2 linked regions of the Lonchura striata genome follow. The protein of the gene in region 1 purifies or fractionates together with the protein of each later gene. This does not show direct contact. Links are inferred from orthologs where the notes say so. Each region holds a gene or a part of one and is shown on either strand. Other genes may lie near its edges.

Region 1 (7,482 bases):
AATCAATTCCCACTGCTTAACAGTCTACAGGGTTATTTCTCTTCTGCTACAGATGCTGAAGGTGTGGCAGCACACTGAAGGTGCACAGATGAATGATAAAAAGTTGTTTCATACAAAAGGAATGGGCTGATGATGTAAACTGCAGAGGCTGACAGGCTGGAGGTTTATTTCCTTTTCTGCACTTCCTCCAAGGGTTGGACACACTGGGTAGAGTGGGAGTTTAGCATCTCAGTAGTAAAATGCCCTGCACAGTCACTGTGCTGTTAATTAAATTCCCCCAAAAGAGTAAAGCACAGCAGAAGCACTATTTTAACCTGCACCTGAATAAAGCACCTTCTAATTTTCCCAAGAAATAATGGCATTGATCTAGAGGAAAGGGAAGCTGGGAAGGTGTTTAAAAGGTGTGAAACTTTTTTTCAATTTGCATTTCTTACCATAAGCAAGATGCACACTCTAAGAAAAAGGTTAAGATGTTGTTGAGGTATGATTACTGAAATAAACTGAAGCATAAACAGCAGCAGTAGGCAAACAGTTTATCCACCTGTTAAGTGTCCTTTTCTTAATATCTATTATTGCTTTAGTAATTGTTCTGCTTAATACAGCTGGCTTATGAGATTGGGAAGAAATGTAAATATTCTGTTTGCCCTATAAAAACATGACATAATATTTGGTGACAGATTGTGGGCATGCAATACTTCCAAAATAAATCTCACCGGAACTTTTTTTGTTCAAAAAAGCCACAAAGGCATCCACATCCAGAGCTTTGACAGTAGCTGCACTCCGGCTCTTTGGATTTGGGATGGACAGTCACAGCTCTGCTCCTAAACCTACTGCCAAATCCTTTCATAGCCCCAGGTAAGGAAAAGAGAGCATTCCTAGGATAAACATGTTACAACTCAGTAATAGCCTTCTAGCTAATAAAATAAAACAAAACCAGACTTAAGTAAGTTACATAAAAACTTTTAAAAAGTTCAGAAAGGTGGCAAACAGGGCTTAAAAATCAGAATAAACTCAGATAAGTTATATCATAAAGCAGTCCACACATTTCTTCACAAACTAAACAATCCAAGAGTTTTATTTTCTTCTGCTTTTTTTATCAAAAGGGAACAAATTTCCAATGGCCCCTGGCTAATATGCTAAATGCAAAAGTTCCCCCAAATCTGCAGTTATGGTTAGATCAGCTTCTGCTCCAACAGCTCCCCAGTTAGATCCTGGTCCATAAATTATGTCTAGTACTCATCTGGAACCCCACACAAGAAAGACACAACTCAAAGCATCAAACTTCCCTTTACAACTTCACATGACAATAAAGTTTTTTGTTTTGTTTTTAATTCCGTTTTTTGGCTAAAACTTTCAACAGTTTCAGAAACCGGGTATTTGGCCTTCTTGTTTACTGCTGACCCCCAGAAATCCCCACATTCCCTCCTTATTCCTTGATATAAAGAGATAACCCTTCCAGAAGTAACTGATTTCTGTGCATTCAACAGCTGAAGGAGAAACCAGGACAACCTCTTGGAAAAAGAGCAGCGAAGCAGCTAAATTCAGTCTTAAAACAGACACTTGGCTTGGGTTAAAACCCCTTCCAGCAGCTGCTATTAAGCTGCCAAGCACGTAAGCCTGACCTAAATCCTCTCCTGCAACTGGGCAGCAACTTTTCCAAGCACATTCCAAAGGATGATGGAGATGCACTTTTAAGGATGAGGGAGCTGGGCTGGGGATGATGATGGAGCTGAGCATGTGTCCTGAGGTGACTTTATCATGCTGGTACCCCCATCTGTCTCTTTAGCCCAGAAATAAGTTCTGCACCTTTAAAACTAGATCTGAGAGTGAAGCAAGAGAGAAGGAAAATTTTCCCTAAACAAGGACAGCATGCCAGGAACGATGATGGAGCTGGGCACGTTGAGGATGATGATGGAGCTGAGCTGCTGGGCTGACAGTGAAACTAGGAATGCCAGGGACGATGATGGAGCTGGGCCACTGGATGCATTCTCAAAGCAGTGGATGTGTAAAGGTAGTTCCTAATGCATGGATGAATGGAACCATTAGCTGCAAAAGGGAACCAGCAGCAGGTCAATACGACCCTGGAAACACAGTTTCCTTTTGTGTGCATATCCCGTGGTGGCACCGCCGTGATCTTATGGGTGTGCGTGTCCCGTGAGGCAGGGCAGCAGCCCTAGGCGGCCAGGTCGAAGTCGTCGCGCTCCTGGTTGTAGTCGAGCACCTTCTGCCGCAGGCGCGACGCGTCCACCCAGGTGATGAAGTCCTCGACAGCGCGGGGCACGAGGAGCGCGGGGTCCGTCACCACCTCGGGCCCCACGCGGACGTGCCCCTGCTCCACGAAGGTGACGGCGTGGCGCAGGTTCTGCGCCATGCGCAGCTTCACCAGCAGGCAGGGCAGGCGCCGGCGGCAGAAGGCGGCGGCCGAGAGGCTCTCGCAGACGGCCAGCGACTGCCGGCTGTTCACCAGCCCCAGCCCGTGCAGCTTCTCCAGCAGCGCGGCGGCGCAGCGGGCGCGGAAGGCGGCGCTGGCCGGGCCCAGGTCGCGGAGCCGCCGGGCCAGGGCGCGCACGGCGCGGGCCAGCGCCTTGTACTGCACGTAGTCCTCCCGCCGGCCCACCCGGTACCGCCGCAGCGCCCGCACCTCCGCCAAGTTCCCGCCCGACGCCTCCCAGTTCACCAGGTCCAGCCGCCGCAGCAGCTTCTGCTCGTGGTACTTCAGTTTCCGCACCATCTTGGCGGGACCGGGATCCGCCGCGCCGCTGCCGGAGAGGGACCTTTCCGGGGCGGGGCGGCCGCCGGTCCCGCGGCTTTTCCGGGGAGGAGCAGCCGAGCCCCGCCCCGGGGGTGCTTCCTCGGCAGGCCCGCCCCGGGGGAGCCCGGCCGGGCAGCGGGGCGCCGGGAGCAGGATGGCTCCGTGTCTCCTTCCCCAAGGAGAAGGCGGCAAATAGAGCCCAGCTTGGGATGCGGCTGCTTCCCCCCGCGCGCTGCGCATCGCCGGGGCCAGCCCGGCGCGGAGGGGTCAACCCAGGTACGGCCACATCGTCCCGACACCCGCTCCGGCACGGGCAGCCTGACCTTGTCTCGCCAGGGGCCGAGCCTGGCATTCGTCATTCCTGCTGGAAAAATGGCAGCGGCGTTGTGTTTCTCCGTGACATCCCACTCCCCCTGATGCACAGGCCGGTTTTCCTTGAGGAGCAGCAGAATCCTCTCTCTGTGCGGTTCGTAGCGCCGCAGATCTCCCGAGTGCCGCCGCGGCCTCACCAGGCAAAGGTTTCATCCCACTTTTCTGTAAGTGCACGGTGTTGTCTGCTCCTTGGGATTCAGGATACAACAAGGAAAATCCCCAGTAGAACAGGTCAGATTGACAATTCGGGATTTTTTTGTTTCTCAAAAGCAGACTTTGGTATTGGCTCTATCTTGACTTTCCTAATTCTAGATTTTCAGCGTGCTGGATTTGTTTCAGTGTGGGTGGTCTGGTCACAGAGGCCATGGTGGTCTCTTGATTTGCTTTGTGTTTTTCCCCGTGTTTGGCAGTGAAGGCACCAATGGAAATGTCGAGCACCAGCAGCACTGAGAAGTTTTACAGGATCCCTGAAGGAAAGGGACCACATTCGGTTGGATGTACAGACCTGATGACAGAAAATGCAGTTGAGGTAAAGCTTTCTACTCTTTCTCCTTTGGATTTAAGCCACAATATTAGTGAAACAACTGGCTGCAGTTTTAAAGCAGAAGGTCTTGCTTGTGTACTCCATGCTGACACTTACAGCTGAGCTTTTGATCCTCTCTGTCCTGGTGTAGGATGTAAACTGGGTGTTTACCATATGGATGTAACCTGCAAGCCTTTCCCATGGCCAATTCCTCCCTCTTCTAATGTCCTTGCCTTTCTGACTCTCCTACACAAGATGCTGCAGAGAAACTGTGTTCTCCTGGGACCCAAGGGGTTCTTCCCACCCACCCCACTGCTCTCTCCTGTGCCGGGCTCCTGCGGAGACTCCACACACAGTCTCTGTTTCTGTGGCTGTTCTCATCAGAAAGATCCCAACTGAATTTGGCAGGGTTGGGAGATTAGCCTATGCAGTATTTCAGCTGCAGAGTAAAAGATGAGATGTCTTCTTGAGATTTTATCTCACTGAAGATGAACAGGATGTCAGTTTGGCAAGAAGTTAGCACAGTAAGAAGCCACAATAGTTACTGTTAGGGACAGTAACCAGACAAGTAATGAGCTTCCTTGTGAACTTCCATTTCAAATCCTCTTGCCCTTGAGGGAATACACCTGTATTTATACCGTGGTTTTACTCTGCAGAGTAGCCTGATGTAGTGGAACTTGTGATCAGTTTGTAATGGTTCACATGTTTTCCTTTACTGAGCTTACTCTACATCAGCACAGATAAGTGATGAGTTTCTTTTTGCAGTCAGTTTTGCATGTGGGTTTTTTTTACATAAGCATTATGAACAATTGTAGTTCTCTCAGGCATAAGTAATGAACCTCTTCCTCCTTCTAGTAATCATGTAGCCATTGGGAAGGTTCACAGGGACTGTTCTGAGATCAAGGTAATACCGCTACCAGTGTGGAGGAAAGTTTTTCCATAATGGTCTCTGTGTCAAAGGTTGATTTAAGTTTGATAAGTAAATAGAAGCAAGCTTCCTTAAACAAACTTTTGGTAAACTGATAAATTAGTGTTCAAGAAATCAGGCTTTATTTCAAAGCTCATGTTTATTTTGGCCCTGATTGTAAGTTGCTAAACCAAAAGTACGGCTGAAGCAAGACAGTGATTTTGAGTGGGGTTTTGCAAATTCCCTTGCAAACCAGGAAATAAAAATGCAAATTGCACACAGTTCATCTGCTGGGAAGTCTGTTTGTGGTGTACATTGGTATACTGCTGCTGTCTGTGAAGGAAAAGACTGACAAGGCGGAATGGAAGGTCCCTCTGAGTGTGGAAAGCTTGGGTACTTTCCTGGGATACCTGGAATGCAGACAGTAGGAGATTTGAACTGGTGGTAAGAAACAGAGTCAGATGAAACATAGGCTAACAAAGTTGTGTTTAGAAAGATGTACCACAAGAGACTTGTGAACATCTTGATGAGGAGGAAGAGCAATCAATGTATAGTTCTCCCTTGCTGTGCAGCTGCCCAAGAGCTTTGCTGACAACCTCTGCTCAGTTTAGGCAGGATCACTACAGCCACGTTAGAGACCTTTATTTTCTCCAGGCTGAAAAGCTCCAGCTCTCTCAGCCTGTCATGCTCGGAGAGGTGCTCCAGCTCTGAGGTCATCTTCAGTCACTCCTTTAATAGTCAGCCCTATAAAACTTAACAAAACACGTCATCAAACCATTCCCAGTGAAGAAGACGGGAGAAAAGATCCAGCAAGATGCTGGATCAGGCATATAGGTAGTGAGTGTTTGTAATAATTTAATTAAATGAAGCATTTCTAATAAGCCCTAAGCTAACCTAGGGAAGGTGATGTGTATCTCCACCTGTGATGATGTATATGTCATGTTACTGTAAATTCATTGTAGGCTCAGAAGATTGTGATACAGGATTGGCATCAAATTCTGTATATGATAATAATTTTCTCATGGCATTCTCATAATTCTCTTGAACTGCATTCTTGCAACCAAAATCTTTTCTGTAAATGTTTTAATCTTCCGTTTTCTCTGCCATATATGAATAAATACCAATATTCCTTTTTTTTTTTTTTTTTTTTAATTTTTCCTAATCCCAGGGAAGCTTTTTGCGCCTGTATTATCCAGCATATGATGCCACAGATATCGAAGAGGCACGATGGATTCCAGACAAAGAATACTATCAGGGACTCTCTGACTTCCTTAATATGTACCGAGTTGTAGGAGAAAGGCTTTTCCATTATTATGTTGGTAAGACTTATTCTGTTTTTATTCCTTGCCTGTTGCTACCTCCATGCTCCATGAGCAGGGTGCTACTGCTGCAGGGCTGAAGAAGAGTTTTTAGTAAAGAAGTGTGTTTTTGTGGGATGGGTTTGTGTAGTGAGGCTGCTGAATGTGACCCCAGTTCTCAGGCAGTCTCTGCTTGCTTTGGATAGGAGTGTCTGGGCAGTTTGCTCTAGGTCAGCTGTACCTGTGTGTTGTGATTTAAATCTCACAAGGAAATGTGCAAAGATATAAAAGAGAGATCCTAGGGTCTGAATATCAGCAAGATCTGAATGCCTGACTATGAAGATTTAACAAATATGTAGACCTTGTGCCAGGCTGTGGATGGGAGGAGGAGAAGTATCTTCTGCCAAGTAGAAATTATTTTCAGAATCAGATCCATATTTATCTTCTGTTTTAAAGATGAGTCTTGGAACCTTATCTTTAGGTGATTGCTCTGATACCAGTGGTCAGCCGTAGATCTCTCCCACAGGAACAAATGCTTTCTCTCATTCCAGTAATAATGATGTACACTTCCATTTTTATTTAGGTTCAGTGACCTGTCCTGCAAAGTCAAATGCTGCTTTTAAGCCAGGAGAAAAATACCCACTTCTTGTTTTTTCCCATGGACTTGGAGCTTTTCGGTAATTTTGCAGTTTATTGACAAACTGTTTTTGTTGTCTATGGAGACAGCATCTCCAAGGGTGGTTCTGAACAGATTTTCAGTAGGGGGGTGAGATCCTTGTGGAGCTGAAAGATTTGCTTCCATGTGTCATTATGCTCCCACTGAAACAACAGCAGGGTTGGTGTATGGTTGGTCACAGAATAATAGAACAGCCTGCATTGGAAGGGTCCTTTAAAGATAATCTCTGCTGTGGGCAGGGATGCCTTCCCCTAGACCAGGTTGCTCAGAACTCCATTTGTGTTTTCCCTCTGTATGATGGAGGTGAAGATATTTACCAGCCCATGAGGAGGTTGTGAAGATCAGCTGGTTGATTTTTGGACAGCTCTTTGAAGATGCAAAGTGCTGTGTGTGCTACTTATTAAAAATCAGTGGCATTTTCCTTTCTGAACAGACAGTAAAAGAGTACCAAGGTTTTGTGAACAGGCTTTGGTGCCTGGCATATGAAATCTTACTCTGCTGGGTAGCAAATTCAAAGAGAATAAATACTGAGTGGAGACTAGTGCATACCTAGTGTGGTCAGCATTTAAAGAGCAAAGGAATTGAAAGACTGACTTCTCACCAGAGTGTGGTTTTTATTGCAGGACAATCTATTCTGCTATTTGCATAGAGATGGCTTCTCAGGGCTTTATAGTGGCTGCTGTGGAACACAGGTGAGTGTGCTGCACATTTTGGAGTTCTTTCACATGTTGAACAGAGTGTTATTTATTCTAAAGAAGAACTTCTGGATTTTTTAAAAAAGAAAAACTAACATCTCTTTTACAGCCCTGCCCACACTGCCCATAGCTCAACACTCCTCCAAAGGGATTTTTGTTTAGATAAGCCCCAGAATGAAAAGTCTTGGGGTAGATATCATTTGTCATTCTTCAGATATGCTATTTGTCTCACTGTTAGAATATAAAGTAGGTGAAGAAT
Region 2 (6,242 bases), on another chromosome or scaffold:
TATCATATATATGGTTATAAAATCTAGACAAGTCCTTGTTTTTCTTCTCACTGAATTCAGGAAGGGAAACAGTATTTCAGACCACGTGAGACTAAGTAATTTAAAAGAAATACCCATACTTTTTAAGCGCTAACAAAGGTGTTAATCAGAACAAAAATTAACTACTACTAACCAAGTCTGTGCAGCTCAACACAGGAACAGGATGGACCAGGACTAGAAGCAAAACAAGAGTAGGCCAGTGGCAGCTGCTGAACCCCTTTCCCAACCCACCCTCAAGAGGTCCATCCATCCAACCTCATCTCCCCACCAGTCCCATTTAATTCCTTTTGCCTGATACTTTCCCTGCAAACTCTCAAGGCTTCCTGTTTAGGGAAACACAACAGCATCACAACAGAGGAAAAAACCTTCAGATATGGGTAAGGTGTGCAAAGGGCCCCTGTGCCGCTTGGAGATGGCACCTTCTAGCGAGCCCCCTCTGAAAAACCAAATACCACCCACCTTCCTTAAGAACAAACCCCACAACACCGTGTATAAAATTTTTATTGGACTCAGTACTGCTACTTGCAGCTCTTACAAAAAGATGACTTTCACTTAAGCTTCCTGCTTTTCTTAACCCCAGCCCGAATGCCAGAGAGTTCCCCGGCATATCTGTGCAGCTCCCTCCGCACCTCGCGGACCTGGCCCTTGCGGCGGATTTTGGCTCGCCGGAATTTCTCCCGATGCTTGACCCGGGGGTTGCGGTCGATCTTCCTCCTCTTGGGCGTGAGGCCTTTGTTCTTGATCATCTGATAGGTAACCCCTCTCTTTTTATTGGGATCCTCTCCTTCTGACACCGCTGCTTCTTCAAGCACATCTTCATCTCCAGTTCTCTTCCTCTTGAGTGCCAGCTTCTCCTCAAACATTTTGTAGTATTTTAGGGCCGCTTCCTCATCCAGCTCTGACTCATCTGACGACTCAGCAGCAGCAGCCTGGCCCTTAACAGGCACAGAGGCACGTTTAGGTTTCTTTTTGGTGCCGTTCATTGTGAGAAAAACCGAAAATTTGTTTTCCTTCTGTAGCTTCTCTTCCTTTTTGTCATAGTAGTTCCTCAGAAGCATACGAACCTGTGGGGAAAGCTTTTGGTCTATGACAGAGAGGTCATTGATGATATTTCTGTACTCCACCAGCCGTTCAATGACCGGGTGACTATGAACTGGCATCCTCTTGGACTTGAGAACCAGATAGAAACTGATATTGGCACAGTAGTTCAGGTAGAGATGATACTTGGTCTGCAAATAGCGACTGCCCTTCCCCTGGGGGATAGTGCCATCTCTGACCATTTGCAGCAGTGGGTGCAGCTCATCCTTGATCTCCATGAGCTTCACCTCAAAGTCCTCCATCAGCTGCAGGAGTTCTGGGGACTCCTGCTTCAGCAGCTTCAGCTGCTCCTTCTTGGAAAGGGCCTGCAGATCCTTATCAATTTTCTGCCCCTTGCTATCGTGGCCTTTCTGCTGCTTAGCCAGGTAGCCCTGGATCATGTCCAAACCATAATCATCCTCCCCCAAATCCCGCACCAACCGTCTCTGGATGACTTGAGCCTCCTGCTCCTCTTCCTCCTCCTCAGCATCGATTTCTTGCTGGCTCCGCTTGCCTTTGGCCTGGGCATCACTCCCATAGTCCGTGTCATAGTAGAGCTGCTTGCGCTGGCCCCAGGAGAGCTCATGGGGGAGCTTGGCTTCGGGATGGCGCTCCTCCAAGTCACTTTCCATGGACAGGACCCCCTCTTCATCCTCAACGTCATTTTCATCTTCCTCACCTCCTTCCTCTTCTCCATCCTCAACATCATTCTCATCTTCCTCACCTTCTTCATCTTCTCCATCATCCTCCTCTGCGCTGTACTCCACAAAAGGATTCCGCTCCTCCGTCTCTTCCTCCTCATCCTCCTCCTCCTCCTCGCTGTCCTCGGGCAGCTGCAGACCCAGCACCTCCTCCTCCTCCTCCTCTTCGTCCCCGGCCTCGTCGCCGCTGTCCAGGGCGGCCATCACGGCGCGGAACTGCTCCTCGTGGAAGCGCTCCACATCGTCCGCCAGCTCCTCGGGGCCGGCGCGGCCGCCGGGCACCTCGGCGGGGTCATCGGCGGGCTCGGGGGGCTCGGCCCGCGGCCGCAGGACGGTGCCGCGCCGGGTCCGCATGGCTCCGCCGCCGCGCTTCCCCTTCCGCTGCGTCCCTTCCGCTCGCTCCGGGCCCTTCCTGTCCAGCCCCGGAGCGCGGGCACGCCCCGGGGACACGGGGGAGCGCCCCGGGGACACGGGGGGAGCGCCCCGGGGACAAGGGGGAGCGCCCCGGGCAGCCCGCGGGGCGGCGCCGTTTCGAGCTGTGATGCCACGTGGAAAAAAAGAAGAAAAAACAAACAAACAACAACAATCCTTTTGTTTCCTCCTCGGGGTTTTCTTCCTCTGGAAGTCCAACCAGTACAGCTGTTGTCTGTGCGGTCATCTTACGGCAACGAGGAAAAAAACACACCTGACACCTGTGCCCTTGTAACCAAAACTTGGTATTCAGTTCCCTACGACCGGATCAAACTCGGAAAGAAGAAGTATTTTCAAAGCTCCGCGGACACCTCCGAGGTTTACACATGACCTCTCCCGTCACCGAATCGCACTTCTACAGGGATACAGGCAGCTTCAGGCTGCACAGCTCGGCAGCTGCTGCTTCATCACCTCTGCACTCGTGACTCTATCCCGTGCGGCCCAGAAAAGGAGCAATTCTTATATTTCAACACCTGGAGACCCTTCCCTAGGAGGGCTTTTAATGCAGTCTGTATTTATACGCCTCTGCATTGTCATCTTTGTGTTTTTGTGTGTCTGTCAGCCATGGCAGAGCACCAGCCCAGCCTCCCACCCTTCCCAAGGGAAAATGACATTAATACTGAGACACAGGGAAGCAATCTGCTTGTATGAGCTGCAGGCAGCCCTGCCACAAGAACAAAGTAATGAGACACAGGAGTTAGTGCAGTCCAAGCTGAGAAACCCAGAGCCTGGTAAATCAGGCATGCACACTTCCCAGCAAGAGCAGTTCCGTGTACAAGTACAGGGGCTTTTCTCTCACCACAGAACAGGTGCAGGTGTATTTATAAATGCTCCTGTCCACCCTTTTGTAGAAAAAAACCCAGGTCAGACAGATATTCAAATTAGCTGAAACAGAGTGGGGTGCTTTACTCACTTTTTGGTGATTCATTTGGATCCTGATCAATCTGTTGGCAAACAGGTCTCAGTTTTGACTTTGAGACACTCAGCCTCTTCACATAGTCACCTCTGGATCAAAGTTTCCTTGCACAAACACAGTTTTTGCCTCAGACCACTTTTCCAAATCAGTCCCTGCCAGTTTTCAGCCATCACCTTGCTGGATACAGGCCTGTAGAAGAAAGAGCAACAAGAGTAACTTGGGTCTGGAAACAGCATCCACTACATTTGTTGGCTATACTTTGGTGTAAAGCTTCACTTGATACTTGACCACTAAATACAACTGTCTTTGGGGACAAGGAATAGCCTCATCAGGTGACTGCTCAGTCCTGCTGGCTTTTTGTGTGAATCCATGCAGAGACATCTGCAGCCAGATCCTGCCAGCCTAAAATTCCAGGTAACTTTTGCAGCTGTGACTTAGAGAAACCCAGGCCTTTCTCATGTCCCTGACCTTGAGAGTTTGAGAGTTTCCATCTTAAGTGTCCTAATCAAGTCTGCCCTTTGAAAAATTGGCATACTAACTTCCACTTGGACTTAAATGGAATTTACATGTCTCCCAAAGTTAATTTCCAAGAGCAGGAAACAATCTGTGTCTATTCAAACCTTTTCCAGGACTTAGTGAAAGCATCAGCCACTTCTGGTGAAGCTGGAGATGATCTCCAGCATGAGTTAGTTGATCCAGTCAACCAGGAGCTGCTAAAGCCAAACCAGTTTGCTGTAAACATCATGGAACCACTGCTACCAAGACAACAATCAGGAACTGCTGCTGGTCTGTTTAGATGCACCATTCTGTTGGCTTCCAAGTGAGAAAGGAGGAGCAAGGAGAAGCACAGGGCAGACTGCTCATGGATGGTGTGTTGTGTGGAGAGAGAGGTCCTGTGCCTTGGTGCTGTCCAACTCTCCCAGCACAGCAACAACAATTTCACCCCACTTCACTCAGGCACCTGCCCAGCTTCTTAGCTGGAAAATCCTGGTTCTGCATGTCTGAGGGCAGCAGGAAGCACAGGCTATGTGAATTGAGACTGAAACCACAGGGCTGGTTCCCATTTCTTTTCCAATTCTCAGTTATTCCACCTCTAGCCTCTGCCCTGCAGGGAGGCTGGGAGTCCAGCTCCCAATGCAGCCCATTGCCAAATGCCTGCTCGCCCAGATAAAATTCCAGAAGTCATCCAGTAAAACAGCAGTAATCCATAAAAATAACAGTACAGAACATAAATCTTCCTCTCAAGATCTAGCAAGAAATCCCCAGAGACATGCAGGTGGCTGAAGGGACTGAAAATAGCTCTCATGTCATCATATCCACACCAAGGGACTGCACACACACGTGTAGATTTAGCAACTGAAATCCAGATATGCTGAGCACCAACAGCAAAGGAAAACCACCAAAGTGAACAGAAAGACACAGCTAGAATTCTGCTCAGTCTCTGCCCTGACATTTGAAAATATTCTCCTTGCATGTTCCCAGTGCCATATTTTTTGTTATTGCAGCTGGGCAAAACAGATCAGCACCAGCCTGCCTTGCTTGTTGTCTATCCTGGTGCTGGCATCCTCCGTTCTTGTATAATTCTAGCAAAATTCTTACAAAAAAGGGTGATCAAACAAACAGTACTTTAGACAGCCATCCCTACCAGCACTGGTGAGCCAGGTGAATTTTTTACTTCCTGCCAAAAATGGGGCACAAGGGAACATCTTGCCCCTGTCTCAGAGAGAGGGCTGCATAAAACTGTTAGCAATGCCTTCTGGGATGGAGAAAGGAAACAACCCCACATCTTTGCTTTGCTACAGACAGATCCCTAACGAGAGCACAAGGTTTGTAAAGAACTGTGGAAGAACCCAATGCCCTGCAAGGAGTTAGCTGTGACCCCCCATCATCCCCTGCCAAGTCCCAAGCTCCCCTTGCACATGAGCACTGCTGATGTAACCTGAAAGCTCCTTGCATCATGCAGCTGCAGGGTGAGGGCTTTGTGCTTGAGGAAAAAGCTCAGGGCACACAACCAGGGACTTGGAACAGTTCTGGCCTTAGGGACTCAGCCAGCAGGGTCTAGAAAAGGGAGACATCCTGCAAGGTCACAGTAGCCAGGATGCTTGGGAGCATTGTCAAAAGAGTTCAGCCTCTTGAAGAAGCCCAGCAAGAGCAACCAGGTCCTTGCTAAGCTTGGGTTTCCCTGAAAAAGTGCCTTTTTCTGTACAAGACACATGGAAATGCTACAGAGACAGCTCTGGCCATTAAAGGCAACATTTGCTCTTCAGAAGTTACATAAATGATCCCAAATCTGGGACCAAAAAAAAAAAAAAAAATCCCAGGCTCTCTCCAGTGCCACTCTCCTCCAGGAAAATCTGCATGCCCAACACCCCAGGGTTCTCTTGGCACCTGGTTCAGGGCCTCTCGTAAACCACAAATCCCATGGAGTTCCTCTTCCATTCACAAGAAGACCAACTCCTCAATGCAGTGAGCAGAGCTGCAGTGGCTGTACCTCTTTCACCCCTGCCCTGTCACCTTTCCTGCTTTGACTGCAGGCTCTCTGGGTCAGGTCCAACCCTTAATTCAGGTTTGCAGACAGCTGTCCAAACAGGATTTTGATTTTTAAACCTGAAGTGGTATAGGACTCAAGGGATTTTAAAGTCTGATTTCTCAAAATTAGGTGCCACAGCTGTGACTCTTGGACTTTCTTACCTCCCACCAGCCCTGATGGCAAGATATCCTTGTACTCAGCAGCTCTGTTGCCTGTTGGTGAAGAACAGAAAAAAGCACAATCAAAGTGCAACCCCCTGCTCCCTTCCCCTCCGAAAGCCAGAGGTCTTGGTGCATTACCACACCTGGTTTCAGTCCCCAGCCACATTTTCCAGTGTTGGCTTGGCTGTTTATTTTAGGAAACCAATTTGCACACACCCTTATAGGCAGAGTCAGGCTCTCCACTCATTCTTCAAAAGAAGGGAAGGCAAGATGAAGAGCACTTGGACTCTGTGTGTTGCCTTGGCCATCTCCTTGGGGATCATCCTTGTGGCAGGTAGGTGAGGAAT

The links.
Region 2: the proteins of IMP3 (region 1) and UTP3 purify together in Homo sapiens (affinity purification with mass spectrometry; 3 studies listed by BioGRID and IntAct, with this or other methods). This does not show direct contact. The link is inferred for Lonchura striata from reciprocal best matches to the Homo sapiens genes IMP3 and UTP3.

The regions. Positions count from the first base shown.
Region 1 is NC_134605.1:108,077,520-108,085,001, forward strand, and holds IMP3 (U3 small nucleolar ribonucleoprotein IMP3), read right to left. Parts: upstream 2,732-7,482; coding exon 2,174-2,731; 3' UTR 520-2,173; downstream 1-519. Other genes in the region: PLA2G7 (platelet-activating factor acetylhydrolase), read left to right, coding at 2,962-3,355, 3,535-3,653, 5,723-5,873, 6,436-6,529, 7,152-7,220. UniProt on the Homo sapiens protein: Component of the 60-80S U3 small nucleolar ribonucleoprotein (U3 snoRNP). Required for the early cleavages during pre-18S ribosomal RNA processing. Part of the small subunit (SSU) processome, first precursor of the small eukaryotic ribosomal subunit.
Region 2 is NC_134606.1:72,541,324-72,547,565, reverse strand, and holds UTP3 (something about silencing protein 10), read right to left. Parts: upstream 2,179-6,242; 5' UTR 2,172-2,178; coding exon 588-2,171; 3' UTR 525-587; downstream 1-524. Other genes in the region: JCHAIN (immunoglobulin J chain), read left to right, coding at 6,166-6,229. UniProt on the Homo sapiens protein: Essential for gene silencing: has a role in the structure of silenced chromatin. Plays a role in the developing brain. Part of the small subunit (SSU) processome, first precursor of the small eukaryotic ribosomal subunit.